Linked DNA regions of Mus musculus. The protein of the gene in region 7 interacts with the protein of the main gene of each other region in a biochemical or structural test. Links are inferred from orthologs where the notes say so. Each region holds a gene or a part of one and is shown on either strand. Other genes may lie near its edges.

What was found.
Region 1: the proteins of Ube2d2a (region 7) and Marchf5 form a complex in vitro, tested with the Homo sapiens proteins (7 studies listed by BioGRID). The link is inferred for Mus musculus from reciprocal best matches to the Homo sapiens genes UBE2D2 and MARCHF5.
Region 2: the proteins of Ube2d2a (region 7) and Nedd4l form a complex in vitro, tested with the Homo sapiens proteins (11 studies listed by BioGRID, with this or other methods). The link is inferred for Mus musculus from reciprocal best matches to the Homo sapiens genes UBE2D2 and NEDD4L.
Region 3: the proteins of Ube2d2a (region 7) and Amfr form a complex in vitro, tested with the Homo sapiens proteins (3 studies listed by BioGRID). The link is inferred for Mus musculus from reciprocal best matches to the Homo sapiens genes UBE2D2 and AMFR.
Region 4: the proteins of Ube2d2a (region 7) and Cnot4 form a complex in vitro, tested with the Homo sapiens proteins (5 studies listed by BioGRID, with this or other methods). The link is inferred for Mus musculus from reciprocal best matches to the Homo sapiens genes UBE2D2 and CNOT4.
Region 5: the proteins of Ube2d2a (region 7) and Rchy1 form a complex in vitro, tested with the Homo sapiens proteins (9 studies listed by BioGRID and IntAct, with this or other methods). The link is inferred for Mus musculus from reciprocal best matches to the Homo sapiens genes UBE2D2 and RCHY1.
Region 6: the proteins of Ube2d2a (region 7) and Birc2 form a complex in vitro, tested with the Homo sapiens proteins (9 studies listed by BioGRID, with this or other methods). The link is inferred for Mus musculus from reciprocal best matches to the Homo sapiens genes UBE2D2 and BIRC2.

Annotation. Positions count from the first base shown.
Region 1 is NC_000085.6:37,206,271-37,210,344, reverse strand, and holds the start of Marchf5 (E3 ubiquitin-protein ligase MARCHF5), read right to left. Parts: upstream 2,801-4,074; 5' UTR 2,476-2,800; coding exon 2,441-2,475; intron 1-2,440. UniProt on the Homo sapiens protein: Mitochondrial E3 ubiquitin-protein ligase that plays a crucial role in the control of mitochondrial morphology by acting as a positive regulator of mitochondrial fission and as an important regulator of immune response.
Region 2 is NC_000084.6:64,886,256-64,890,555, reverse strand, and holds the start of Nedd4l (E3 ubiquitin-protein ligase NEDD4-like), read right to left. Parts: upstream 2,801-4,300; 5' UTR 2,509-2,800; coding exon 2,461-2,508; exon of another isoform or gene 1,553-2,460; coding exon of another isoform or gene 1,544-1,552; exon of another isoform or gene 1,447-1,543; intron 1-1,446. UniProt on the Homo sapiens protein: E3 ubiquitin-protein ligase that mediates the polyubiquitination of lysine and cysteine residues on target proteins and is thereby implicated in the regulation of various signaling pathways including autophagy, innate immunity or DNA repair.
Region 3 is NC_000074.6:94,009,841-94,014,001, reverse strand, and holds the start of Amfr (E3 ubiquitin-protein ligase AMFR), read left to right. Parts: upstream 1-1,361; 5' UTR 1,362-1,540; coding exon 1,541-1,783; intron 1,784-1,873; exon of another isoform or gene 1,874-1,973; coding exon of another isoform or gene 1,974-1,994; intron 1,995-4,161. UniProt on the Homo sapiens protein: E3 ubiquitin-protein ligase that mediates the polyubiquitination of lysine and cysteine residues on target proteins, such as CD3D, CYP3A4, CFTR, INSIG1, SOAT2/ACAT2 and APOB for proteasomal degradation.
Region 4 is NC_000072.6:35,130,938-35,135,068, forward strand, and holds the start of Cnot4 (CCR4-NOT transcription complex subunit 4), read right to left. Parts: upstream 2,801-4,131; 5' UTR 2,565-2,800; intron 1-2,564. UniProt on the Homo sapiens protein: Has E3 ubiquitin ligase activity, promoting ubiquitination and degradation of target proteins. Involved in activation of the JAK/STAT pathway. Catalyzes ubiquitination of methylated RBM15.
Region 5 is NC_000071.6:91,960,269-91,964,503, forward strand, and holds the start of Rchy1 (RING finger and CHY zinc finger domain-containing protein 1), read right to left. Parts: upstream 2,801-4,235; 5' UTR 2,452-2,800; coding exon 2,362-2,451; intron 2,289-2,361; exon of another isoform or gene 2,219-2,288; intron 798-2,218; exon of another isoform or gene 437-797; intron 1-436. UniProt on the Homo sapiens protein: E3 ubiquitin-protein ligase that mediates ubiquitination of target proteins, including p53/TP53, TP73, HDAC1 and CDKN1B. Mediates ubiquitination and degradation of p53/TP53; preferentially acts on tetrameric p53/TP53.
Region 6 is NC_000075.6:7,820,058-7,823,557, forward strand, and holds part of Birc2 (baculoviral IAP repeat-containing protein 2), read right to left. Parts: intron 1,163-3,500; coding exon 917-1,162; intron 1-916. UniProt on the Homo sapiens protein: Multi-functional protein which regulates not only caspases and apoptosis, but also modulates inflammatory signaling and immunity, mitogenic kinase signaling, and cell proliferation, as well as cell invasion and metastasis.
Region 7 is NC_000084.6:35,799,059-35,802,558, reverse strand, and holds part of Ube2d2a (ubiquitin-conjugating enzyme E2 D2), read right to left. Parts: intron 2,719-3,500; coding exon 2,687-2,718; intron 2,608-2,686; coding exon 2,530-2,607; intron 2,450-2,529; coding exon 2,344-2,449; intron 1,286-2,343; coding exon 1,192-1,285; intron 1-1,191.

The DNA.
Region 1 (4,074 bases), on a different chromosome or scaffold from region 7:
AAAGTGCTAGTGTTTTCATATATAGTTCCCCTACCCTTCAGGCCAGGATTACAAACATTCTAGGCAGAATGTTCTGAGCCATATTCTCAGACCATTCAATTTTCAACTGAGGAAACCAATTTTTAAAAAGCCGACTCCGTTTTCTTAATGGTAAAGGATAGCTATAGGAAGAAAAAGGACATCACAACAATTTCTTTCCAAGTTCAAGAGGTCCTTTTTTTTTTAAAGATTTATTTATTTATTTAATGTATGTGCTTACACTATAGCTATACAGATGGTTGTGAGCCTTCATGTGGTTGTTGGGAATTGAATTTTTAGGATCTCTGCTTGCTCTGGTCGGCCCCACTTGCTTCGGACCAAAGATTTAGTATTATACATAAGTACACAGTAGCTGACCTCAGACACACCAGTAGAGGGCGTAAGTAGACAAGTAGGGCTACATATACCAGAATCATTATCAGTGTTAAAGTAAGGAATGGGAATGTGGTTCAGTTGTACCAGTGTTTATCTAGCATGCATGGCACTGGATAAACAGAGTATGGCAGAGGCAGGAACAGTTGGATGGGGGCAGAAAGAATGTAAGAGTTGTGAGACGAGGAGCGCTGTGCATTTGGTCTTCTGGCCTTGTGCTTACACACCTACCGTACCTGTGGTTATCTGTGTAAGATCTACACACTATTGCATCAGGGATAGAGGAGGGACTCAAAACTCCAGGCCTACCCTGAACTTTGGATACTGCTACTAGAGGAGGAGGGAGTAAATTTAGTGTTGTGCTAATAACACGCCCATGCTCTTGTAAATAACCTGGACCCATGCTTATGCAAACAATCCTAATTAAATTTAATGGAACACACACACACACACACACACGCACACACACACACAGAAACGAGGGGGTGATGGGACTCGGAATGGGAAAGGACTTGGGAAGAAAACGGTAGGTAGAGGATGGAGGTGAGCTAGGGTGATGGGAGAGGAAACGACTAAGTTATGTACATTCTAAAAAGGATAGCCAGAATTCCCAAGTTTCTGTAAATGTTTCATGAGCACTCACTGGCTTTTATGAAAACCTCTGAAGAATACATGAAAAGCCAAGACAACATCTAGACAGAAGAATTTTTCTAAGTGTCGTCACGGAAAAGTGAAAGTGGGATGTCATCAGAGCAAATGATTAACTACGCAATACAAGGATTGCGTCTCATATAACTGGAATCGATGTGGCAGGCAGTAATCTCTCTGGGCATACTTAGTATGACACATCTAGTCAAGTATGATAAATTATAATGAAAGGAAAACTTGAGAAGTGACCAGACTTCTAGACAACTGGAGAAACGGACAAGTTCATTAGTTGTAGCAGAATAGCTGCTAAGTACCAGAGATTTAGGCTAAATCCTGTCATAAAATATGAGGGTGTAACTTCTTGCCTTCCCTGATGGATCTTTGATGCCCACCTCCCAGCCCCAGTAGTTAATGGCTATAACCTCAATCAAGAGAGGGCCTTCATTTAATAAGTTTCAAAGCTGAATCTTAAGTGCATTGAGAGCATCACCTGCTGAAGTGGGTGGCCAGTTAGTCTATTTAGAGTTGCAAGCAACCTCAAACATTATGAATTAGATCGACCAATTGGTCAGAACAGCAAGCAGCTGCCTTGGTGAAAAGGTGGATTTAATTTAGTTTCCAAAAACTCACTGGCTGGAATTTAAACGGCAGAGGGCAGTGCTGTAGACTTTCTCAAAGAGTTTTAGTGGCTGGAGACCCCAGGAATGGGCAACTGGTCCCAGTACAAGCCCAAACGTGTCTGGGAACTTAGCGATCGTCAAGTGTGCTACGTGTTCAATGTTGCATGCTTGTGGCTGTTTTCCATAACCTCTACTCTAGTGTGACCGACCGTTAAGGCTCCCTTGTGGATATTCTGACCTTACGGTTTGGGGGTAGGGATGGGATTGGGGGAGGGTGGTGGGGGAGTTGGAAAGAGAAACGAAACCCAGGCTTTAAAAGAAGGAATGCCTATCCTTGCATTGTGAAAGTGCAAGGGACCAGTCTCCAGAATGACAATCGGGTACTTCCCAGTGGCGTCGCTGTCAACCCCTTTACTACATTGTCCGGGGAGGAGGGGGAGAAATAGAAACTAATACTATGGGTTAACAATAGCGCCTCTTCACCTCAAAAAACAAAACAAAACAACAACCAAAAAAAAAAAACCCAAACAGGCTGGCGGCCAAAGTAGACCTCCCTCCTTTAACTAAGTTTCAAAGTCTACGACCCTGACCTCTCGCCCGCTCTTCTCCCCAGTGCCACCTCCAAACTCAGAGCCCTTTTCCCGGCCTCCGGGCCGTGGAACTCTCGGCGGACGCCAGGATCCCCGCTCTCGGGGCCTCGAGGCCAGCATGGGCAGGCCCAGGACGAAGGCCGGCAGTTCCCGGCCCCACGTTGCTCCTACCTGTCCAGCATCTGTTGAAGGGCTTGGTCCGGCATCTTCCGCGGAGCCGGCGAGCTCGGCCCTCGCCCGCAGCCCCGCTCAGGGCCAGGCCCCGGGACAATAGCACTGAGAGGCGGCGGAGTAGGCCTCAGTCCCGCGGCGGCCGCGGACCCGCCACACAGCCTCCCGGCGTGGCTCCCAGAGGCCCGCGGTGGCGCTGCGCGGCCGGCGGGCGACCGCAGAGGGCGGCGGGGAGTGAGGAGGAGGAGCCTGGGGCCGGGAGGCGGCGGTCGCGGCCCGGGTTCCTGCCGGTCCGCCCAGGGTTCCGGTCCATGGACCGCCGGGGCGCCGAGCTGCTGCCGGCGGAGGAGCTACCTCTGTGAGGTAAGAGTCGCCGCCTCCGTGCGCGCCGGGGTCACGACGCAGGGGCGGCTCGGAGCAGCCTGGGAGATGTAGTCCTCGGACCGTCCCCGCTAGAGGCTGCACAGCCCGCCGGGACCCCCGCCGCCGTGCCCGCCGCCGCCGGGCCGGCGCCCTCCCGTTTCCTTCCTCCAGGGGGAAAAAAAAATGTCCTTCGGGCCGCTGTCCGGGAAGCGGCAGCATGTGGCGCTCCGCTGTCAGTAGCAACAAGGTCAGCGCCCCTTCTCCGCGTCTTGTCCCCTCAGCTCTCGCGCTCAGGTGGGACAGAGCCAGGTGAGGGGTGGCGGCGTGGAGGGCCAGTTTCTGGGCCGGGTCAAGTACGCCGGGCCGCGGCGGCGCGAGGCCGGGCGCTCGGGTCAGCCTCGGCCGCGTCAGAGCCCATCTTCGGGGAGGGACAAGTGGCTTAGTGCGGGGCTGCTCTGGAGGGGCGTGTGGGTAACCCGACTGTTCGCACCGGCGCCTCTGTGTGTGTGTTGGGGACATAGGAGAGCATGGGGGGTGGGACGCGAGCAACCACTTTGCCTGTCCAGGAACCTTCTCGGTTCTGGTGCTGTCGCCCAGCCTTCGAGGGCTTGCGGGCAGCCTCCAAAGGGGACACGCTGCTGAATAAACAGCCCTTGCTTGCTCAGCTGTGGGTTGTCAGGAGTGTTTGTTTCTTTCCGCAGCTGGTCACCGTTAACCATTCCTAAGGCTCCTTGACACTTCTAAGCAGGTGGATCCCGGCCGAGGGATCAAAAAGGGAAGAAGTGACAAATCACGCCTCTGTCTTCTCTGACGCCGGAAGGGATAGCTTTGGAGGGGGGAAACGAGCTGTTGTTGACTTAAACCGATGCGTAATTTGGACGACCTGTGGCATTGTTTAGCGCTGTGATTGGTGGGATGTTTTGCTAGTTTTCCGTTGGTTGTGCCTACGGTTTTTTGGTTTTTTGTTTTTTTTTTTTAAACTTCTACAAAACGTTTGCTATTTCTTTAAATGAAAATGTTTCTTTAAATTTGAGCCTGGAGTGGTTTCTCAGGCCTATAATTCCAGACTTGGAAGACTGAGACAGAAGGATTACCTGGTCTGTATAATGAATTCCAGAGTAGCCTAGGCTAAATAAATAAATAAATAAATAATCAATCAATCAATTAATCAAGGATATGGTAGGCGTCCAATCCCGTAACCCCAGCACAGGAGAGGAGGAGGCAGAAGGATTAGGAGTTCAAGGTCAACCTCTAACTCTAATTAGTTTGAC
Region 2 (4,300 bases), about 29 Mb from region 7:
CTCCTGGGTACCCTCCACTTGCCGAGAGGTTTACAAGTGGATTCCTCTCTGCAGCTAAACAAACACCTTCATGACATACTTGCAGCCCACTGGTATACCCTATCTAACACAACTTGACAAGCCTGAGGTGCCTGGGCAGTCCACTTCCAGAGCCTGGTAATGATGCCCATTTGTTTGCTTACAGACTAATTCTGGAGACACGACAAACCAATTACATGTAATAATTTGATATTAATATTATACAAAGGCATTCTGTCTGTCTTCAAAGGGACCCCTGAACAGAGAGAGAGAGAGAGAGAGAGAGAGAGAGAGAGACCTCCCATACCAAACAGATACCGTAAAAATATGGAGGCATTTATTTTTCTATTGGTAAGAGAAAAATGAAAAAGGTAGGTGAGGCTTATTTTTGTGTCATATATGATGTGTGTAACTAAACAGAACCATTAGTAGCAAAGCAAGACACAGATAAATTGTGTCTTCCTCACTCCTTGATCTTCCCTGTACAGTCAGTCCCTCTGGTAACAGGCAGGAGGGAAGCGTCACAGGCAAGCCCCCACACACTCCACACACTCGGTTTGGTGTCTGTGCTCTTCGTTTTTTCACACCCCACACCAGTCAAGATCAACAGTGATTCTCCAAGGCGAAAGTGGCAAGATGTGCCCTGAGGTGGATTCTGACACCGGCTTCCATCATAAACAAAGCCGGGACGGACCATGACAGAAAAGATTCCTTTATGCAGATGCATTTTCCAAAACAGTCTCAAAATATTTCTTTCAAGGAGCCTTTAAAAATAATCACGTTATTTTTAAAAAATTAAAGAGACCCTAAGATGAAACACAGCTGTCTTCATCTCCCTTGATACCTCACCCAGGAAGCCCTTTGTTTAAGAACGTCAGAATCTCAGCACCTCCAAGAGATCTGACTGCCCCTCCAGCACCAGATAAGGAGCTAGGAGGCGAATCCCCTAGGTAAACAAAACAATTCTACTTTCACCCATCTCCAGGTAACTGCACACACACACACACACACACACACACACACAAAATTTATTCTACACAACCATGGCAAATAATCAAAAACACATCACACATTACTCGCATTGTGATCATTCTTTGATCACAAGCAGCCCAGTAAGCCTATCTAGCTCTATCAAAAGATAAAATCAACCCCTACACGCCCTGCCTTCCACAAAATACCAATTTCATTCCACACTTAGGTAGAATACACACACACACACACACACACCATACCACTAGGGAAGCTGCGAAAGCAAAGCCATAACGTGAGCCTGTCTCAGATAATAGACTCTCTTTAAACCCCACCCCCATCACCAGAGAAAGAGGGAACCTCAGAAAGAAAGGAGGGAGGGTAAGAAAGAGAAATCGAGAAAGCCCAAATTTCCAGACATCCACTTTTCATGAAATGCGCAACCAGGATAGGAAATACCTCCCTGCTGAGTAATGCTTCATGGGTTGTAAATTCACCTCTCGAAAGGGGAGCCAGACCTGGGCGCGCACCCCGCCAGATGGCGAACCACTCCTACCTGCTCCATGCAGCCTGCCTGTCACTCCGCGCCCGCGACAGGCCTCCCACCCCCCTTTTTGGCAGAGCAACACACCAATAAGAGTCGAGAATGGCTGGTCGAGTGAGGGCTGAACAGTGATTTAGCAGGATCGTTTCAAAAGGGGGAGTGGGGACCGCGATGAGCGAGTGAGGCTTTTAAAAACAAAGCCCTCTCCAGTCAAACCAACCGTTTGGGGGGTGTGGCTTATTTCATTCGTTTATTAATAAAGGAGATCAATGGAGCTTTCTTCTCTCCACCCACCCCAGAGATGCCGGGCTTTGAATTCTCTGGACTGGAGAGAAATGGCAGGGCTGCAAGCTTCCCCTAAGTTTCCTGCAGCACCTGCCTCCTCCCTAGATCACCTCCACACACCAAAATAGGAGACTCTGGAACGCACAATCCTAGCTCCAGACTTTGCAAGACCCAGGAGCGGCCGCACGCAACTCTCCGGGTGTCCCTCGCTCTCGCCGGGATCTGCACACATCCGCTACCGAGCGCCCATTAGCAAGAAAAGTCCCAGGGGGAGGAGACACCACTAGGTTCCTCGGCAGCCCCCAGATCCCCTGCACTACGCAAAGACCCCTGCGGCTACCTAGACGTGACACACGTCACGGACTCCGGGCTGCAGGATCGTGGTCCAGAAAAGTTGCCCAACAGCCTCGAGAGACGCAGCTTGCGGAGGAAAGAGACTCGCGGGGCAGCGGCGCACGCGGCCTCTGCCCACCCCGAGAGCCCAGGCCGGAGAAGCGCACCTCCGGGGTGAAGAGGGAGAACCAGCCACCCACCGCCCGGGACCGCTCGGGGTCACCCGGAATCTTGGAGCCCCGGCTGGCAGGGGACGCTCACAGTGGAGTGGGCCCCGTCCCCTCCGCACAGCGCTCTGGGCAGGAACTCACCTCCTCTTCCGAAAGTCCGTAGACAGGCTCCCCAAGCCCGGTCGCCATGGAGCCGGCGCCCCGCGCAGGGTCCTGGACGCTGCGACTGGCTGAAGTGCGTCGCGGAGCCGCGACCCTCTGTCCTTCTGCGCCGCCCGGCGGGGAAGGGCCGGCAGGTGAGGCTGCACCCGGCCGCGGCGCCGCTTCCTCCCGGAAGGCTGCGGGGACGCGCGGACTGGCGGCTCCCGAGAGCGCGCCGAACGGCGACTGGCCCGGAGCTCTCCCTGCTCTGCGCTGAGCCCGCCGGGCTCCCGCCCCCGCCGATGGCTCTCCCGGCCTCCCCAAGCCCGCTCGGCGATCCCCGGGACCCGCGCGCCCGCCCCTCGCCTGCTCCGCCCGGCCGGCTCTCCCCGCCCCGCCTGCGCCGCCCGGCGCCCACGGGGACCCTCCCGCTCGCCGGGGCGGGCACTTGCGCCCCCCAAGCCAATCACAGGCCGGGCTGGGGGGCGGGCCGCGGGGGTGGTGGTGTTTCGCCCCACGCCCACCCCACCCCCGCGCCTCCTGGGTCACCCGGCACAGAGCACTGAGCTGGGGCGCGCCCTGGCGGGCTGGGCCTGCCGGGCTGACCCTCCTCTTGCCCGGCTTCTCTCTGCCTTGGGACCCGGTGAACTGGACCTTGGGGGACCATGAAGACCCCGTGAAACAACAACAAAGCCACTATGTCCGTTTTTATCTCTCTCTTTTTTTTCTCTTCCTATCCAGAGTCTCCAGGAGCTCTAAAAGAGAGCGACGATGCTTGTTTCTAGACCCCCTTTAAATTCTTGGCAGCTATGGCAGGCCAGACTTGGCTAACAGCTTCAGCTCGCCCAAGAGATTTTCCTGGCTGGGCGGCCAGCCTAGGAGAGGCTGCCCCGGTGTGGCCGTGAGTCGCCATTGCTGGAGTCAACTCTACTGGGAACAAAACCAACTCCGCGCCCGCGCTGAGTACACACCCACCCACTTGAAACCCGGCTGCCTAGTTCTTTGATAAAAGCTCATTTTTTGTGAGGCACAACGTGAAATACCAAATTCCAGTTTAAGTTTGTCCTTTACATATGCAAACGATGGAGATGTCTTATTAGCCACCGTAGGAATCTTCCCACGTTCCAGATAGGGAGTTTCTCTAGCAAGCCCTTCATTTAATCCTTCGATGTTCAGGAACGCAGGAGGCTACTTTAAATAAGAGAAATTTGCCACTCCTAGAAGTCTTTTCCTTGGAGCTGGGCGTGGTGGCCCGTGCCTTTAATTCCAGCACGGGGGAGGCAGAGACAAGATCTTTGTGAGTTCGAGGAACAGCTAGGTCTGCATGGTAAATTCAGGACAACCATAGCTGTAAAGAAAGACACTGTCTCAAAAAAAAAAAAAAACAAAAAGGAAGGCCGTTTGTTCCTTAAATTTAAATGTTGAGTGCGGTGGTAAATTAGAAATGAAAACAGGAAGAACATTTTGTTTGCCTTTAAATAGAAAGCACCAGAGTGTCTAGTACTGTCTGGGTGGTTAAAAATCAACTGATTCAGCTTGTCTGTCCCAGCTTAATGACCAAGTACCTGCTGTGCACCTGCAAATCAAAAAGAAGGATGTTGCACCAGCCCCCAACTCTCTTTCCTCCATTGCAATGTGTCCCAAAGTAGTGACTTTCCTTCGAAGTCAGCCACAATGGAATCAACACTCTGCTCGGAAGCCTAAGATGGAATTCAAAAGCCATTAAGACCACACAGTGCTTAGGAGCTGGGGAAGGAGGGAGACAGAGACCGAGGCGGGAGGGAGGGAGGAACTGGAGGAGAGAGAGAGGATTGCTCCTAAGTATGGCGGAGAAGGTTTA
Region 3 (4,161 bases), on a different chromosome or scaffold from region 7:
TATGGAAGTCCGAGGACAACTTGGGGGAGTTATGAGAATCAAACTCCAGTTTGTAGCAAATGGTTCATCTCACAAGCCATGTTGCAAATGACTGGGAACGAACCAAAGGGAACTATATTGTACAAAGACTCATGATGAGATGTTTTTAAGAATTATAACAGTGGTTAATTTTCAGATTTAAAAGATCTATAGAAATATTTGGCATGAAAAAATACTACAAAGACAATTTCTCCACATTAGAAAATTTGGAAAATTCAAAGCTGTTTACAGAGCTACATTCTGGGATAGGCACTAACACATGGCTCGGGGATATAATAATTAAAAACTGTACCCTATGTTATCTTATGTAATTCACATAGATATAACCTGCTGTTTATAGTGTACAATTCAGTGACTTTGAGTGTATTCATAGTTGTATAACAGCAACTTTAGAAATTCTCACTTCAGGAAACTAGTACCCCAACCTGTCACTTCTTTAGCTGTCACCTCCAGTTCTTTCAAACTCCCCTTCTACTCTACATTGCATGCATTTGTCTTATCAGCGTGGTCACACAGAATTTAGATATCTGTGTGTGGCTTGATTCAGACATCGTCAACATTCTCTGATATTGTAGCATTATCTGTACTTTATTTTCAAACGCTATAATTCGAGGTTTGCCTCTCTGGTTTTTAGGAGTAGTGCTACTGTCAGCCTCAATGTAGGGACTTTGTGTGGGTGTCTGTTTTCATTTCTCTTGGATGTTTACTTAACAAGCAGTGTAACTGCCAGGACGAAGGTCACCCTTTGGTTTACCTTTTAGGAACAGGTATTTTCCAAGAAACTAAGCAGCATTTGACATTCTTACTTGTAGCTAAGAGGGAACAGATTTTTATTTCTGGTTAAATTGGTTCCTCCGTTTTAAAAATATTCTATCTCAAGGCTTCTCTTATTTCCTAAGCATCATGTCGCTTCTTTAGGACACCAAGGAAGCCTCTAGTCTACAGGGTGGTGGGATGGCGGGTTTACCAGCTTTGGCGGGGAGGAACAAGCGACAAGTGGCCAGGGGCAGGGGTCCCGCACCCTCACCCTGCCGCCTGACCACGCACACAGGCCTGCCGTCATTGCCTACGGGCCAGGCTCACCCCAGAGCCCGGCTCGGGTGCGCTCGTGGCTTCAGTGGGCCCAGGGTCGCCAAGGATGCTGCAGGGGGCCGGGACGCGGGGCCCCAGGCCGGGTCCTGTGCTCTCGGGGTTGCAGAGCGCCGGCTGTGGGCGGGGGACGAAGGCCGCGCCCCCGCGCCCGTCCCGCCCGCGTCCCGCTAGGGGCGGCGGCCCGCCCCGAGTCCGCCGAGGCTCTTCCGCGCCGGCAGGGGCAGCAGCGGGAGCGGCGCGGGGCGGAGCGGCGCGAGCAGCTAGGAGCGGCCCGGCTCGGCCCGGCGCAGCGGCGGCGGCAGCGGCAGCGGCAGCGACGCCAGAGCCCGTGGGCGCCTTTCGCAAGGCCGCCGCAGGCGCCTGGCCGCAGCGCGGGAAGCCTCGGGGGCCGGAGCCCGTCGCTGCCGCCATGCCGCTGCTCTTCCTCGAGCGCTTCCCGTGGCCCAGCCTCCGCACCTACACGGGCCTCAGCGGCCTGGCCTTGCTGGGCACCATCGTCAGCGCCTACCGCGCCCTCAGTCAGCCGGAGGACGGCTCGGGTGAGCCGGAGCCGCTAACGGCCCCACTGCAGCCCGAGGCGCGCCTGACCGCCGGCGGCCCCCGGGCCCGCGACGTGGCCCAGTACCTGCTGTCGGACAGCCTGTTCGTGTGGGTGAGCGAGGCTGCGGGCCGGGCGCGGGGGCGGGCGGCCGGGCGGGAGCCGCCATGTCACCCATTATCCGCAGGGGGGCGTGGCCGGGCCCTGACCCCGGCCTCCTCGGCCCGGGGACCGCGGCCCTCGCGTGGGGCTCGAGGCCCAGCGGCGCTGCGAGCGTGGCGGGCCGCGGAGAGAAGGTGTCGGGATGCCGGGGAGAACAGTCGAGGCAAGGGCGGTCGGACCCGCGGGCTCCAGGGCGGCGGGGTGCGGCGACCCGAGGCTGTGAGAAGCCGCGACACGTCCGGTTTAGCTCGGCGTTGTTGGGGGCGGCTCGCCGACGAAGAGAAGGCCGAAGTTAGGGGGACATTTTACTCTTCGCCAGACAACTTCGAAATGGTGCTATTTGTCAATGCGTTAGTCCCGATGGGCGCTATTTAACGAAGCAAACAGACCAGCTACGTCCTTTTATCTCACCCCCAACCACCCCCCGCGATGGTTTGTGACTGTTCCCTTTTTGACAGAAAGCAGCAAAACACTTTCGGGTCGGTGTGGCAGCCCCTCCTTTGAACGCGATTCCTCCGTTTAGCGATCCATTTTGAAACAAGGGTTCTAGTTTGTCTGCCGGTGCGAGATAAGCAATGTCCACATGCCACAAGTACTGGCTTCGTTTGTTACATCATTTTAGGCTGGGCAGATCTGAGAAAATTTTGCTCTCACCTTGCACTTGAGTGCCTCTTCTATGAACCCTCAGAAATAGGAAAAGTTGCTCCCGGATTTAAAAAATTGTCACTTGGATTTCCTGTGGCTTGGTGGGGATCGTATCTCCCCACACGGCGCCTAGAGAAGGCTGTAAATGACTGAGGGGTTAATGTTATAAGTTTGTAGAACTATAATGCAACTCATTTGTTGTAATTATTCCCACTGTGCTTCATCAGGAAGCAGCGGGATTTGTGAACTTCGTGGGCTGCAGATGACGCCTCCTGGTCCTTTGGTGCATAGTTTCATAGAAGGCAGTGAAGGGCAAAGTTCCCCTTTCTCTACTCCTAAGAAAAGATGAACTGTTCGTCTTTAGGGTAAACAACTTAGAATTATTATGTTGGGAGTGCTTTTGACAAGGGTGAAGACTATAGTGTATGTAGTCGTTGATACCTTGTTTTAAGCTGGAACCATTATTCTATTACTAGAACAGCCAATAGTATTGTTTAATGTTTTTTTTTCGTAAGTTTCTTCTTGCAAAACCCACGTTCAAATTCCAAGGTTAATAACATTTCATAAAACATTAATCTAAGGCCTTCCCTTTGGCGTTTCTGAGAATTGTCATTTTAAAGAATGTTCTTTTTCTTTGCACAGTCTTACCTCATATAGATTGATCATTCCTTCCCCTCCTTTGAATCCTTATTTCTCAGTTGAGCTTTATTCGGTTTTCTTGCATGTCCTCTGGAGTTTTGGCACTCATGGTGTCTGCCCAGATCTATCTTGTGTGTGCTGTGAGTTTTGTTTATCGTTTAGTACTTACTTTGCGCAGCTATGCCTCACACTCTTTAAAAACCTCCCCTGTTCCTGGCAGGTAACACTGAGTGTCAGTGTGGTGGGCCTTTGTCAAAATGGATGCTTCTTGAGCCTCACTCATAGGCCTTAGACATTAAGGGGGGGAACCCCTTCCCCGCCTAAGAACAAAACATTGTCTGCCAATGCCAAGCAAGATTAACAAGAACCTGTCCTTTGTCATTGCCAGTCGGAAGTCTTACTAGTTATTGTTTTGTCAGACTCTCTAGAACTTGTCTTTGTAGAACACATGCAGTAGTCTCTCAGGAGGTTTGATATTAGCACAGGCAGATGAAAACCTTTCTGAGGAAGACTCAGCTACCAACAGCACTTCCCCCCTACCCTCAAATGACTCATATGTAAATGAGGCTACTTACAATAGGTGACAATAGAACACATGTGAAGTCCTGTGGGGTTTCCAGGTAGGAGAAAGGCTTGCTGTGTGGGACTGACTACAGCTTCTCTGACTTAAAGGGAGTTGAGAGGTTGGAAGGAGACCAGAGGTAAGAGGAGGTGGCCCTGCTGAGAGACAGGTGACAAGCCTTTGAGGCTCCTTCTCTTCAGGTGTGGCACTGAGGCTCACTTGTGGCTTATGACAGCCATCTTTGGCTTGTCACTCCTCCTGCCACATGCAGTGAGAAAAGTAGGTGGAATTTCAGAACTGGTTAGGTTGGTTCTAAACTTAAAACTTTAAAAGACAGATCCTGCAAGTTCATATTTCAAAGGTCAAAGTAAACAAAAGTGATAGACAGCGAAAGGAGGTCCCTGTTCCACCTGCATCCCATTCAGCTCCTTGTAGCTGGTGCTGGCCTTAAATGGGAACCTAAGAAACAGTCAGCCTCAAGTCC
Region 4 (4,131 bases), on a different chromosome or scaffold from region 7:
CTCTATGCTAGAAGCAAGAATTTGATGACCCCAGAGGAAGAAGAGAAATTATTTACGATATTTAGTGAGCCAAATAGCTTTACAAAAGAAAAGATGCATTAAAAAAAAATCACTCATCCCCTTCTATCAGACATTCTCCTTAGAACATACTGCTTACAATTCAGCCAAGTATGACTGCCAAGAGTATCTAGACAAGATTGTTCAAAGTGGCAAGCTTTTCCACCAGTATCTACTTTTTACTTGGAGTTAAAGACAAGTTATTGGTAAACTAAACGAAAAGTATTATTTTCTTTTTAACTTCAAGGTATAACTAAAAACAATGGATGCTTATATAAAATGCTTCCAATTTTTTAGAAGAATAGGGATTTATTCCATTTTGCCAAATTGGGGCTTAAGTGGCTGAAATAAAGAGCTTTGACCATGAGTGACAAGATGAAGAGTCAGGTGACTGTCTTCAAGTTCAAGGCTAGCCTGATCTACATTGCTGGTCAGTCAGAGCTACATAAAGACCCTGTCTTAAAAAAAAAAAGGAAAGAGAGAAAGAACAAAAGAAAGAACGAACGAAAGAAAGACAGACAGACAGACAGCCGAGGGGGAGGAGGAGGAGGAAGAGGAGGAAGGAGAGGAAGCTTTATGAGCAGCTTTTCTAACCTTAGTTTACATTTTTAAAAACTTTTCACAGCAACTTAATATAACATCAAATATAAGAATAGTCAAGCTTTATAGGTGAAATATGTAAGATTTACAATAACAGTAATGTGTGAAAGTAACTAGAAGAACTGCGTTTGTATTTACACTTAAGTTGTTACTATTTCCCCCCAATAAGCGACATACTTCATTATGAGACTGTTATTGTGACTTTAAATATTTTTATATATATATTAAGAACACAATGTCTTATGTTCAAACTTGACATGTGTTTATCTGACCTATATAATCTTATTTGCTGTTCTGGTAATTCTTTATGTCACTGTGGTGTATTATAGCAAATACTCTAACTCCTGATTACACAAACTAGTGCATTTCAATTCTGCTTTCACTCTACTGTAGAGACCATAAGCCACCCCTTGCTCTTCAGTTTCTAGCTCTTACTTACTACAGGTAATAACAGCTAAGTGCCATTGAAGCATGCGTATGCTCAGCTTTGTGACTTCTTTTCTCAGCCCCCATAGTTTCTATGGGAAAAAAAGGAATTTAAGTTTACCCCAAAATATCAACTTCTCTTCATACATACCCAATGTGTTTTTCCATACAACTTATTCTGATAACTCCTATCCTAGAAATGTCAAAAGAGGGAATTTCCCAGATCAAAAGAGAGGGGGGAAAAGTCAAATTTGCACCCATCACAAATAAATGTTATCAATTAACATAAACATCAATATAACGGAGCCAATAATTGATACAAAAGGAATCTGTAACCCACATACAATCAAAATACCATCTGTATTTATTTGCATGTGGTGTTCGGGGATGAAGTGTGTGTGTGCGCGCTAGATTCACCTGGTTTTGAAATTCTAAGCTGATCTTTATGGGTATAATCAGAGACAACATCAAGTGTCCTGAGGAATGGCAATTCAGGAGAATGCTGAGTAGCACGGAGAAGGTCGAAAATGAAAAGAGGGGTAAAAAAGGATAGCAAATGAGCAACAAAAAGATCAAAAAAGCAAAACATTCCTTTCCCGAGTAGCCCGAAGAAAGCTCTTTTCTCTTAACGTTAATAGTCTCCCACTCACTTCATTCACTTCCTAACTTCCTTTACTTTTCAAGGAACAACACGGGGCATCATCTCCCCTATCCTGGAGTGTGTGCTCAAAGAGTCTGCATTGGAAAGAGGGAAGGAACCGACAATTCTCAAGTAGGTTAAGAAACAGGTGGGTTATACGGAGCAACGGAGCAGCAACATGATTTAGATACTCACGAGGTGGCTTTAAGATGACAGATGCGGTTAAAGGAGACTTGCACATCGGAATCAACTCGGGTCTGGCAGACAGACTGGGGGCTGACTGCAAGCACCAGAGGGGAGCAGAGGCTAGATCCAGAGCAGCCTTTCTGGAAGGGATGGGGCAAAAAGGGGCAAAAAAGCCCACCAAGCAGGACGGGTGGGCAGTGAGCAGCAGCACCCGTCAGAGTGGAAATGATGGCTCTGGCTTGGGAGACCGGGGCCAGTAGGAAAGGACGTCAGAGGGGAAAGGAGGCTGGGGAAACAGGAGGACCAAGACCTAAGGATACTGTTGCCAGAAAAATGCGGGGAAAACTGGTGATGAGAAGCCCTCTTGGGTTCTCAATTGAAGAAATTCTCCAAGGAGAGCCGGCGCTCGCTGCCGCGCTGCCTCCAACCCGGCTGCCTTTTCCTGGTGATAACTGCTGTGGCGTAGAGGGGAGAGGGAGGAAGAAGAGGAGGAGGAGGCAGCCAGAGGAGGAGGAGGAGGGTGAAGACGAGGCGGGCGGGGGTGGGGGGGTGGGGAGAAAGGGGGGTGCGGCCTGCACAGTCCCAGCGAAGCCTCCGCTCTCTCGTAGCCGGTCAGCGCCGGGTTTCCCCTAAGCCCAGCCCCGCAGACACTCACCCGCCTGCCTTGCCTCGCTTTTCTCTTAGCCGACTCCACGCGTTGCCGAGTCCTCACAGGAGACCAATGAACGAGAGTCGGCGAAAAAACTCTTCAGAACCGGGCCTGACTGCTTCAGTGAGTCCGACCTTTACGGCTGAGAGAGAGACTCTCAGCTTTCGGTGGGTTCCACGGCTAGACGGGCCACCATCTTACATTAGGGTAAGACTCCTCCGGCCTCCGCTGCGCAGGCGCATGCCGATCCGGCTGGGCGGGGCGGGGGAGGGGCGGGACAAGCGGCAGGCGGGCGAGTGGGAGGTTGCGGCGGACTGGTCCACTGCACCCTGGGAGTTGTAGTCCTCCGATAGTAACCGCCCCGGGGCAGGCCGGGAATTGAAGTCATCACTAGAGAAGGCGCTCGGGAACTCGTTCCTCACGTGGCTACTGGAGCGCCGGCTTTCTTCTTGTTTTGCTTCCTCTTCTGCCCGCGTGTGTGGCTACTGTGTCATGTGGTCGGCGGTTTTCACTAATGTTAGCTGAAATGTAGGAAACCAAAATTCTACGAAACTTAACTGATTCGGAGGAAGCTAGGACGTGTCTTTTTCTGCCCCGCCCGCCATAGATAGGTATCTGACGGGGGCGGTATGGTGGTAGAATCAGGTTGAGCATTGCAAGAGCGCGGGATTTGATCTAGAGTGGGGAGTTGATACTTTTGGAAAAGTGAGCGTTAATTCGTTTCCCGGTCTTTGCACGTCCTTTACCACCAGTACAGCTGAGCTCATCCTCCTTACTGGAAAATCGCCAGTGAAGAAATACCTGAATTGCCATGTGCACATTTCTCAAGAGAACGCGGGCAGTCAGAGTAGCATGAGTTGCTGATGATGTGAAAGCATGTGGACTTACCTGCAAACTGTTGCTGGCTGCACAGAACTCTTCCAGCCTGCACAGAAGTGTGCGTCAGGTTCGCAAACTGCACAAGTAAACACGTCTCAAAGGACATAATACAACCGCAGCCGGTTCGAGCACCGAGAAATTCTAAATAACAAAATCAATTTACTGAACTTCCCGGGTTGCCTCCCAGAACTCTGGTGTAAGTGGCGCTCCTGGAGCGGTCGATTCTGTTTATTGCCTATATTCTTCATCTATTCATATAAGTGCTGAGCTCCTTGGTACCCAGTTCAGTGCCATATGCTGGGAGCATACAACAGAGACCAAAAACACAAATCTGTCCCCATTCTAGGGTGTGTGCATGTAGTGGGGTTTGGAGAAGTGAAAGGAACCAAGTTTTCAAATCCAGGATTAAAATACGTAGGATGGGACTGTGGATGTCACACAGTGGTAGGGCGCTAGTCTGGCACACTTGAGGCCTGAAAGCAAAAGGTTTAAGGGGAGGATTTAAAACAGAAAAGGGAAATGTAAGGAAAGAAATTGAAGTTTTAAAGTCTCAGTCTCGCTGGACGTGGTGACACAAGCCAGGACTCTGAAAGCAGAGGCAGGTGTATCTCTTTGAGTTCAAGGCCAGCTTGGTCTACAAACCATGTCTAGAGGCAGAAAAAAAAAAAAAAAAACCACAAAAAAGGCAACCAGA
Region 5 (4,235 bases), on a different chromosome or scaffold from region 7:
ACAACTAGCTGGCTAAGAACTTTTCTTCAAGAAAACCAAAGTGCTTGCTAAGTTTTCTATCTGAAGAACAAGTTATTAAAAATGTTTATAAGTATGAGCTAAGATTTAGTAAATATTAATTTTAGTGCAAGAAAGGGAGGGAGGGAGGGAGGGAGGGAGGGAGGAAGGGCAAACGGAAGGAAGGAGAACAAAGATGAGCAAGCCCCGGAGTGCAAGCCAGCAGTAAGCAGCATTCCTCCTCGGCCTCAGCTTCAGTTCCTACCTCCAGTACCTGCCCTGCAGGAGCTCCTGCCTTGCTTTCCCCTAATAACAAACTGTCACAGCAAAGCCAAACAATAGACCCTTTGGTCCCCAAGTAACTTTTGGTTGTGGTGCTTATTACAGCACAGGAGAAGCAAACCCCCGTGCTCTGCTTGCCAGCTAAGAGCAGCCTTACCCGTATGCTGGGTCTTCCCACTGTGACTACTCAATGGTTCTCCCCTTTCTTGCTGCATTACAAAATGCCCTGTTGGATCATTTCCCAGTGTACAGAAACATGCTGTAACACAGCTTTCAGCAAAACAGCCACATTTTTGCTCTCCTTGGCAATAAAAATCCAAAAATCCTCTATGCTATTTTCAGTAAGCACTCCAAGGAAGCTTTACCCTGAATACTTCCATTGGCACTTTTCTTGTCAAGATCAACAGCGACCTTCCCCTGGCCAAAGCAAAAGCCAGCTGTCACTCCTTATCTTGCTTGCACAGCTACACTTGATCTAGTAGATGACTTACTCCTTGAAACACCTCAGCTGGCCTCTCCTATTAAGAAAGAGGAAGAGGGAACAGAAAAACAATGCTTGGACACTCAGAGAAAAAGATTTTAAGTGTTGTGAAACACAAATTTGGTTGTGCAATTTCTTTGCAGGGGTGGAAGGGGAAGGCCAGGTATTAAATTCAGTTTCATACCACTTTGAAACTGTAAAAATATTTCAGTAGAAATGTAACCAAAAGAATATTTAATTCTTTATACAACATTAGATAATTGACCAGTCTGAAAAAATTCATCCAATGCAATGAATGCTCACCAGGCATGGCCTACAGAAAAGGGTTTAAGTTGCCTTACAGATCTAAGCCTATCACTTAGTCCTAACTTATAAGGTCAGTGACCAGCAGAGCTGATTGTGAAGGTGGCGAAGGAGGAGTTGATGACCACTGTGGGTGCTAGTTAATATATACTCCTAGTCATTTCTGGGGACACACCTCTTAAAACACCACATGTGCACTCTAGCATGCAATCATCACATGGTTTATAAAAGAGGGACTTTCCCTGTTGGCAGAGAAGGCTGAACCTAGAGACTCTCTGGTGAGGCCAGTACTCTAGCAATGACCTATATATACCCCCAGCCCCACCTCCTTTTTTTTTTTTTCTTATTTGCATTAGCATCTCCTGGCTGGTATTCCTTCTGCCTCTGCTTCACAAATAGCTGGAAGTATGCATCTCCTGGAGCTACAGGCCTTTACCACTAAGACCAGCTTCCAAACTTGTATATTTTATATGCAAGCTCTTTAAAAAGTAGCTTGCTCCAAATTACACAGCAAGTTAAGGACAATCTAAACTATGAAGGGAAAGCTATAGGATTCCAAGAGTCAAAGTTTCTTCTCAGTGGGAGGCGACTTCTGAAGACTGAAGCCAAGGCCTTCAGCATTATAAACTCAATTCTAAGGCTGAGTTATAACCCCAGCTCAAATCTCAGGCTTTCTCAACAAAATATTAAAACTGCTTCTTAAAAAAAAAAATCAGGTAAGTCTTAACTGTGTGAGAGTCATTTTTAAAAACTCTAGATGACTAGAACGTCTCAAGCAGGAAAAATGACAGCATATATGTATTAGGCACTCCTCCAATATCCAACTTAATGGCAATCACCCAACTCTCACTTCACACAGACATTTTCTCCTGGACAGGTCTGGGCATATTCCTAGACAAAAAAATGAAGCTGACAAGCCATACTATAAACTTCCTACACGTACAGAAATTATATTCTGATTCTTCCCTTGCTTATGCTTTCATCACTGCATCATACGCACTTGACAGAAATGCCAAGGCCCTTTCACTTCCTCATTCTACTGTCAACCGCAAATGACGGATAAACCCACAAGGGAGGTGAATTTAAGCAAGGGCCAAGTCTTTACAAACAAGAACTTGGCTTGCAGCGGCGATCGAGTACAGAGCTCCTGCTCGCCTTGCCAAAACGTTTCCTGCAAGGAGAGCCCAACTCCAGATGGCAGGTATCCTGACAAGCAGCTCGGTCTGAAGCTTCTGCCCAACCTGCCCTTGCCAGACCCGACCGCAGCTCATCGAGGAGGTACCCTCTAAAGTCGTCACCTTGAGGAGACAAGCTCTGTCATAGTGCTCGCAGCCCCGCGGCCCCTGCGCCAGGTTGCGGACGCCATCTTCCCGCGCCGTCGCCGCCATCTCCTCCTCCTCCTCCTCCACCACCTCCCCCTCACCAGCCACTGAACCTTTCCCCCAGCTTGGAAGCCACGCCTTAAGGAAGCAGAGTCGGTCGGACACCCGCTCCTCCTCGGAGCAGCGGCCACCAGAGTCAGGAAGGGGGGGTCCAATCACGTGATCTGCAGCATCCGGATTTCCGGTCCCTGGTGTAAGGGGTGGAAGCCAAGTGAGACGCTTAGTCCGTCGTCCACGTTAGTCGCTGTCGTCACTGCTAATGGTAGTAAGTCTTAGGTTGGCTCTTTTTCCCCGCCCCGGCATCGCTGCCAGCCCTGATTGCGGGCGAAGGGGACCGCTGCGTCGTCTGGCGGGCGCTGCTGCGAGCCGCCGGCGCCGGTGAGGAGCGGCCCCTCCCGCGGCTGCTCCGAAAGGGGGCGGGGCTCGGCGGCTGCGCGCGCAGGTCCGAGTGCCGGCGGCTGTCCCGGTCTCCTTTTTTCCCTGCGCCCCCTTTAGAAAATATTGTGCTGTCACCCACCCAGGACTTAAGAACGCAAAGTGAAAAACAAGTAGCCACGCCACGCCCCCGTGGAACTCACAAATGGGGAGGGGGAGAACGCCACGGCATTAGATGAGGTCACAACTTCCACACTGGAAGGACAGTCCTGTGTGGTGTCCCTGGGGAAGGAGACGCTCGAGCTGAAAGTTGAATGGCAAACAGTACGCCAGCAGGAGTTAGTGTGTACCAGACCTGTGGGAGAGAAAAATCTGGCCCGTAAGAACATGAGAGAAATAAAGAAGCCTGCAGAGTTTGAATCTCAGACCTCAAGGTGCATAACTTTATGTCCACTCTTACAAAATACCAAGACTTAGAGCATTTTATCAGCAAAACTTCAGGTGTTGGGATCTGGGAGAAGGGAGGCAATTGTCCGGGAGGAGATGCCTTTAGCTTAGCCCTGGAGTTACTAACTCGTTTTAATTCTCTTCCAGTTGTGTTAGGAGTTGCTAAAAACATGGTGAAAGGTTGCTCGGCCATTGGATGTGCCTCTCGCTGTTTACCAAATTCCAAGTTAAAAGGACTGACATTTCATGTGTAAGACTTTGCTGTACTCAAGCCAGATACTTTTAACTTTTTACTAAAAATGATTCTACCAGAGTCTGCAGTTACAAGCTTTTGTTCCCAGTCTTTTTAAAATAACCTTGTTAAATTTGAACTGACAATGGTCCCTTTATAATGTGCAAGTTTCAAGTGCCAAGGAATGAAAGACCAGATAGCACCCCCACCAAAAATAAAATACCCCCACGCACAAATTGTCAGGCTCGTCTTTGCTAATGTTTGCATTCTAACTGTGTTACGGTCTCTACTGTTCATATGTCGATCATCATCTAACTGAGGGCTCTGTTCAAATACCCATACCTTCTTTTTAGAAATAGATGAGGTGGAGTGGTTCACTGTAAACTACATGTTCAGATCAAGGATTATTTAGCTGTGTGAGTTTGAGGATTCTAATTTAGTGTTTAGCCATTCCTGTGACACCCTAGGAAGGGTCTAATAGGATTTAATAAGCATACTTAGGATGTTCGCAGCTTTTGTGAAGCACTGTTATTACTAGGGAAAGATCTAGTTACTTTACTAGGCAGGGAAATAAAAAGAACCTATGTGCTACCATGTCCCAAAACAATATTGAACTAGCTTAGAAATGTTGAGAAGTCTGATTATTGCCTCCTGTATATGTCAAAGTAATTGTAGCTCCAGAACCGTAGACGTGCCAGCTGTTCTCCGCATGAGTTCATAAGGCATTTATAGACCT
Region 6 (3,500 bases), on a different chromosome or scaffold from region 7:
CCCATCAATCAAGCTACATCTTCAGCCTAGAGCAATATTCCTTCTCAGACTCCATGCATTCTACAGAACTACAGCACTCAAGAGTGTAAGCTTCATGTCACGATGGACTCTGCCTGGCTCCCAGGCAAGTCTAGCCACTTAATAGCCATGTGTCCCCCTGCTATGTACACCTCAGTTTCCTGATCTGAAGTATGAATAATAGCATCTTCCTCAAAGAGTTAAACAAAATGCACATAAACCATGTTGTACAATACCTCACACATAGCACATAGCCTGCTTTATCCTTTTTTAAATCTAAATTTATAGTTTTTAAAAATGAATCCAGCTTATTCATAAGAAATTACCTCACTTCAGAGGGCAGAATTGAAACATAAGTCTGTTTCAATCCAGAAGTTAGAATTTTAAACGTTTTGTGATACGGTCATATAATAAGGCTGTAGTGAACTAGTCCTATCTCTTTTTTAATATTTTCCCCCCTTGGTGGGGTCTTCAGAGGGGGTCAGATCCTCAGGAACTAGAGTAATAGGTGGTTGTGAGACACTGGACTCTACTTAGGCAATAGGAACCAAACTCAGGTCCTTTACAAGAGCAGCCAAAGCTCTTAACCACTGAGATGACCTCCAGTCCCTTAAGTCATGCTTTTTTTCAGTTTTAGCTATGTATAAAGAAATGAAATATACCTCAAAAATAGTTTATTGTAAATCTGTGTATGGTGGCATATATGTATAACCCCAGCACTTTGGAGGTGGGGGCAGGAACCTCAGGGGAGTTCTAGTACAGCACTAGCTACAGACTGAATTTGAGGTTAGCCTGAGCTTGGCAAAAAGAGATAGTTTAGAAATGCCCAGGGGCAGAGGGTGTTAATGATGCTGCATGCAACACGTAATTGAAAACCTGTGGCCACCAACGTGGATACCTGATGCCATCTCTTCAGTCTGTCTTTCCTTCTCCTCTTCTCTTCTCTCATCTTCAGCATTCAAAAGTACTGAGACAATATCATTGACGGTCCTGTAGTTCTCACCAGTGGCCAGGATCTGCCGCTGAACCGTCTGTCTCACCAGGCTCCTACTGAAGCCCATTTCCAAGGCTGCTTTAACCACAGGCGTGCTCATCATGACGACATCTTCCGAACTTTCTCCAGGGCCAAAATGCACCACTGTCTCTAAAAAAATTTGCTAATATTAAACTCCACAAATTTAAACTATGGAAAGTAATGCCTGTGGCACCTTTATTTTTCATATCCTGGTAAGGGAGACATATCATGTGCATCAATTAAATTAACTTCAATACAATTTGAACTTTGGATAGTGTACTATGTATCTAAAAATTACTACCTACCTACAGTATATACATCCTAGATATAAACTTAAAATAAAAATCTCTTGGCAATTTGCTTAGGAGTCTGATTGTTAAAAAACAAAACAACAACAAAAAAACTCCAACAGTATTGTTGGGATGGCTCAGTGGTAAAGGTACTTACTGCCAAGCCTGACAGCCTAAGTTCAATTCACAGAATCCATGGGGGGTGGGGGAGGGGGGGGAGAACTAATTCGTAAAGTTGCCCTCTTTTTTTAAGAAAATAGTTTATTTGCTTTTATGGCACTGGGTTTTGGTTGCATTTGTCTGTGTGAAGGTGTCAGCTGCCCTAGAACTGGAGCCACAGGCAGCTGTGAGCTGCTGTAGGTGTTGGGCATTGAGCCTAGGCCCACTGGAAGAGCACCCAGTACTCAAAACTGCTAAGCATCTAGCCGGGCGTGGTGGCGCACGCCTTTAATCCCAGCACTCGGGAGGCAGAGGCAGGCAGATTTCTGAGTTCGAGGCCAGCCTGGTCTACAAAGTGAGTTCCAGGATAACCAGGGCTACACAGAGAAACCCTGTCTTGAAAAACCAAAAAAAGAAAAAAGAAACAACTGCTGAGCATCTCTCCAGTGCCCAAGGGTGCACTCTTAACCTCTATCCACACATTGTAGCGTGTGCACCCACACATACACTATAGTTTTTCCTCAAAAATCAGGTAGGCAAGATGGCTCATGGCTAAGTGTTTGCTGCACAAGTCCACCCAAATTTAATTCCTGAAACCCACAGGAAAGGACTGACTCCTAAAATAATTGTGTCTCCATGTCTTTATATCTGTGTGTGTGTCTCTCTCTCATGTACATACACACACAGACACACACACACACACACACACACAAACACACACACATGAAAAAATTTTAAAGTATCTCCCCAAAAGAGTTTAATATACATTCATTTTTTAAAATCAATGTACCACAAAAATACAGCTATGAGAAATTACCTTCCAGCAGGAAAGGAGGGCAAATATAAAGCTCAGTAGGAACTGGACATGTGACAGCAAAGACAAAGCTTCCCTGACACTCATAAGCAAGATCTAAATAAGCTACCACTTCAAAAACCAGCAAACAGTAGGGAAGAAGGTTAAGATGGGGGTACAACCTTGGCAGAATGCTTAGAATACACTGAATTAAAAATGGGGGTGTGGCCTAGGTGGAGGGCTTGTCTTCCACTCTAGCAAGCATGCATACATCTCTTCCCCACCCCTATAAAAAGATGAGGTGTGGGTGTGGGGCCTAGCACACATGAAGCACCTGGGTTGGAGTTATACCAATGGATATGTATCAGACTTGAATGATGAATAACGTCTAAACAGGTATATAAGTGAGGCAGAGAAAACAAGGATGGGCAGCATAAAGATGTAATAAAAACACAAATAAGCAAAACTACTGTTATTCTGAATGGAGGTTTTAAAGATGAAAATACGAGGTGACAAATGCAGGAAATGGGAGGCCATAGGGACACGGATGGAAGCATTCTCTGCTAACAGGGTCAGTGCAAGCTCATACTGTGCTTCTGTGACATTACAGCTGTACTTTTCCAAGATACTTTACTGCCATCCACTGGAAACTCATACAATCAACACACAAAAGTGTGTAGAGAGCAAATGTGGTCAAAAATATGTTAATCCTCAACACCTCATCCAGAAAGTAACATTTAAAAATAAATAAAACCCTAAAACTGAAACGATAAAGTAAGCAACAGGAACATGTGAAAGAGAACAGCAAGACTAGCCTTCACCAGCACAAGAGCTTAACACAGTCAAGAAATAAAGATGGTGGCAGACGGCAGGGACAGTAGTCATGGTATATACAGCTTTGTGAGGAGTGTCCACATCACCCTAAGTTTGCCAGAATATTGTAGGAGGAACTTAAGCAGAGAGCTATTCCAAAGGTAACTGGTGATGCTGCACAGATGGATTTGGGATCAGGAACAACTGGTCTACAAGATAGACCAGGGTAGCATGGACTAAGAGACAGTATCAGGACATGCTGTGAAGGCAGAGCATTTCTCAGGAGATAGCCCAGTTGGTTCTGTAACTGGGTGTTATGAACTGAGATGGGGAAGGTCAGAGAAAAACATCTGAAGAATGAAATCAGAGGAAACCTAGTGCTTTGACATATTTGCTGAGACAGCTATTGTAG
Region 7 (3,500 bases):
ACTTCACAAGAGCTGGAATCAAAGGTGCTGGCTACCACATTCAGCTAGTCTTTTATGTTTTTAACTCAAAATCTAGTTATGTATGGTGGGAAAGGTATAGTGGCATGTGCCCTTTTCCTGGGGTAAGAGGTGTTCAAGACAGGGTTTCTCCACATAGCCTCAGCTGTCTTTGAACTCAAAAGTCTGCCTTCTCCTCCCTCCTAAGTGCTGGGATTAAAGTCCTGTGCCATCACCAGCATGTGCCTTTAATCCCAGCATTGAGAGGCAGAGGCAGAAGGATCTTTCAGTTCCAGGCCAGCCTGAGCTACACAAGAAATGCTGTCTCAAAACAGCAGGGTTAGAGAGATGGCTAAATGGTTAAGAGCTGTGACTGTTCTTCCAGAGGTCCTAAGTTCAAATCCCAGCAACCACATGGTGGCTCACAACCATTTATAATAGGATCCAATGGCCTCTTCTGATGTGAAACAGCTACAGCGTACTCATAAATAAATAAATAAATCTTTAAGGGGGGCAGCCCCCCATATTCTATATAGTCCCGTCTTAATCTCATCAAGTAAGACACAAAAGCAAAAATGACTAGACCTCGAAGTCACTTGATATCATGATCATTCTTGAGTAAGTCATACAGTATACAGTTCTAAATGCCTAATTCTACATCAAAACTTGTTTTTAAAAGATTTGGCACCTTTATGCCAAATGGTAGTAAGGTCAATTATCTTTCTCATTAATTTACCAAACTATATGTAAGATAAATAAATGAGAACCTGATGTACAATAATTCACAAGTCTAAAACCAAACAAGACACAAAGGTATTAATAAGTACTGTAAGGAGAAGCTGGGCGTGGTGGCACATGCCTTTGATTCCAGCACTCGGGAGGCAGAGGCAGGTGGATTTCTGAGTTCGAGGCCAGCCTGGTCTACAAAGTGAGTTCCAGGACAGCCAGGGCTACACAGAGAAACCCTGTCTCGAAAAGTACTGCAAGAAAGGTTTTTAGTAGAAGTTACATTAGACAACTATATATATGAGATTAGTATCATCTGTTTATAATATATGATATAGAAACCTGTTTCATGTACCCCTCAGAGAGTTTATCTTAAACTTTTAGTCTATATTTAACTCTATAAGTAACAAGTTGTAAGGCAGCTCTATCCCATGCCTGAATGTTTTTTTATCTGGAGGTGATACTTACTTTTCTCTATCTGTTTTGTAGATCCGAGCAATCTCAGGCACTAAAGGATCATCTGGATTGGGATCACACAACAGAGAACAGATGGACAAAAGTACTGGGATAGTAAAAAAAAAAAAGAAAAAGAAAAAAGTATAGGTTAGTAGAAGACCACAGCAAAAGGCTTAAACATCAGAAGCTGGGCATGGTCTTTAATGGAAGCACTCAGGAGGCAGAGGCAGGGGAAAAGGTGGATATCTGCGAATTCAAGGCCAGCCACAGTGGTACAGTAAGACCCTGTTTCCAAGAGGAAAACAAACAAATCACCACCAAAAACCCAACCTGATATGCCAACCTGAGATAAGAATATAGAATTATGAATGCAGGTAGCTTAGTGGTGGAAAGCTTGCATAATGTGCATGAGGTTCTGCTCTGAAGAACAAAACAGCTCTTCTAAATCCTAGATTGAGAATACACATCAGCACTAGCGAACCTCAATTTTTAGAGGCTCATATTCAGAGAAAATCAGCTGTCAAATTTCCAACAGACAAGAGTAGTTGTCTGACACAATCAGTCATACAGAAACTTCAAGGATAATCTGGGGCCAGGCGTGGTGGCGCACACCTTTAGTCCCAGCACTCGGGAGGCAGAGGCAGGCGGATTTCTGAGTTCGAGGCCAGCCTGGTCTACAAAGTGAGTTCCAGGACAGCCAGGGCTACACAGAAAAACCCTGTCTTAAAAAAAAAAAGAAAAAAAGAAGATAGTCTGGGATATAGGAGATTGTCTCAAAAATAAAATAAGTTTTAACCAGGTACAGTAGCTCACACTTGTAATCCCAGCACTGTAGATGCTAAGGCCATCCTGAACTACAGAGTAAGACCCTGTCTTAAAACAAACAGATAAAAATCAAACAATCACATCATTCATTTTCTTTTAAACAAAACAAAACAAAAGCAAAAACAAAAAAGCCCCAGATAATCTTAAAAAGTTAAGCCAACAGAGAACAGTAACAAAGAGCAGTTACTTTCCCCTTTGAGACAGGGTCTCACTATACAGTGCTGGCACTCAGAGATCTGCTTGCCTTTGCCTCCACAGTGCTGGTATTAAAGGTGTGCTCCTCCATACCCTGCACAAAATCAGTTATTTCACCTTGTTATCAAACAACCATTCCATTACCTTTTGAAATAGTTAGTGCTGGAGACCACTGTGACCGTAGAATATCAAGACAAATGCTGCCATTACTGTTAATATTTGGGTGATAAATTCTTGTTGTAAATGCAACCTGAAGAAAAAGAAATCTTTGTGATTTGTTTACCAGTACCATACAGAGCATCTTAAGAGCAATGATCATATACCATTTACCTTAGGCGGTTTGAAGGGGTAATCTGTTGGGAAATGAATTGTCAAGAAAAATACTCCACCCTGATAGGGGCTGTCATTCTGTTGATGATAAAAAAGTGATATTAAAAATGGATAAATTACTTGAAACAATTATTAAGGAATTAAAGTGAATACTTACTGGCCCCATTATTGTAGCCTGCCAATGAAACACTGAAAAAGAAGAAAAAAGGGTCACCATGTTAATTAACAATATTCACATTACACCTACGATAGAGAAACCTATCATTTCCTATATCTAATCAAAGTTTATTTATAAATAGCATGATAACGACTAGTTTCAATGGGCAGGATGAAGACTAAACCAATTGAGTCCAAACCATTAAAAGAAAAAGGAAGGAAGGAAGGAAAAAAACCAGATAGACAGAGACAGAGTGAGACAGACAGACAGACAAGTGAGCAGGGTGTGGCAGTGACTGCCTTTAATCCCAGCACTTGGGAGGCAGAGGTAGGTAGATTTCTGAGGCCAGCCTGGTCTACAGAATGAGTTCCAGGACAGCCAGGGCTACACAGAGAAACCCTGTCTCAAAAAAACAAAAAACAAAACAAACAAACAACAACAACAACAACAAAACAAAACCAAAAAACCAACAACAAAATGTAAGCAAGACACCGTGACATTTACATTTAATCTTAGTACTTGGGAGGCAGAGGTAGAAGGATCTCTTTGACTACAGAGTGAGTGAATGCCAGACCAGTCCAAGCTGCCTCCAAATAAGTAATGAAAATAAATTATGATCTCTTGTGGGTTTTTAGAGTTTCCAGTATATCCTTCAATACAGAGCTGGGGGGACATGAAGCATTTGCCTGGCATATGTTACTCTGGGCTGGATCCTCAACCTTACTTTAAAATACAAACACACAAAACACAAATTTGTTCATAAGCTATAGCGATAATTTCAAAGTACTCAATAAAGTAACTACCTATAAAAGCA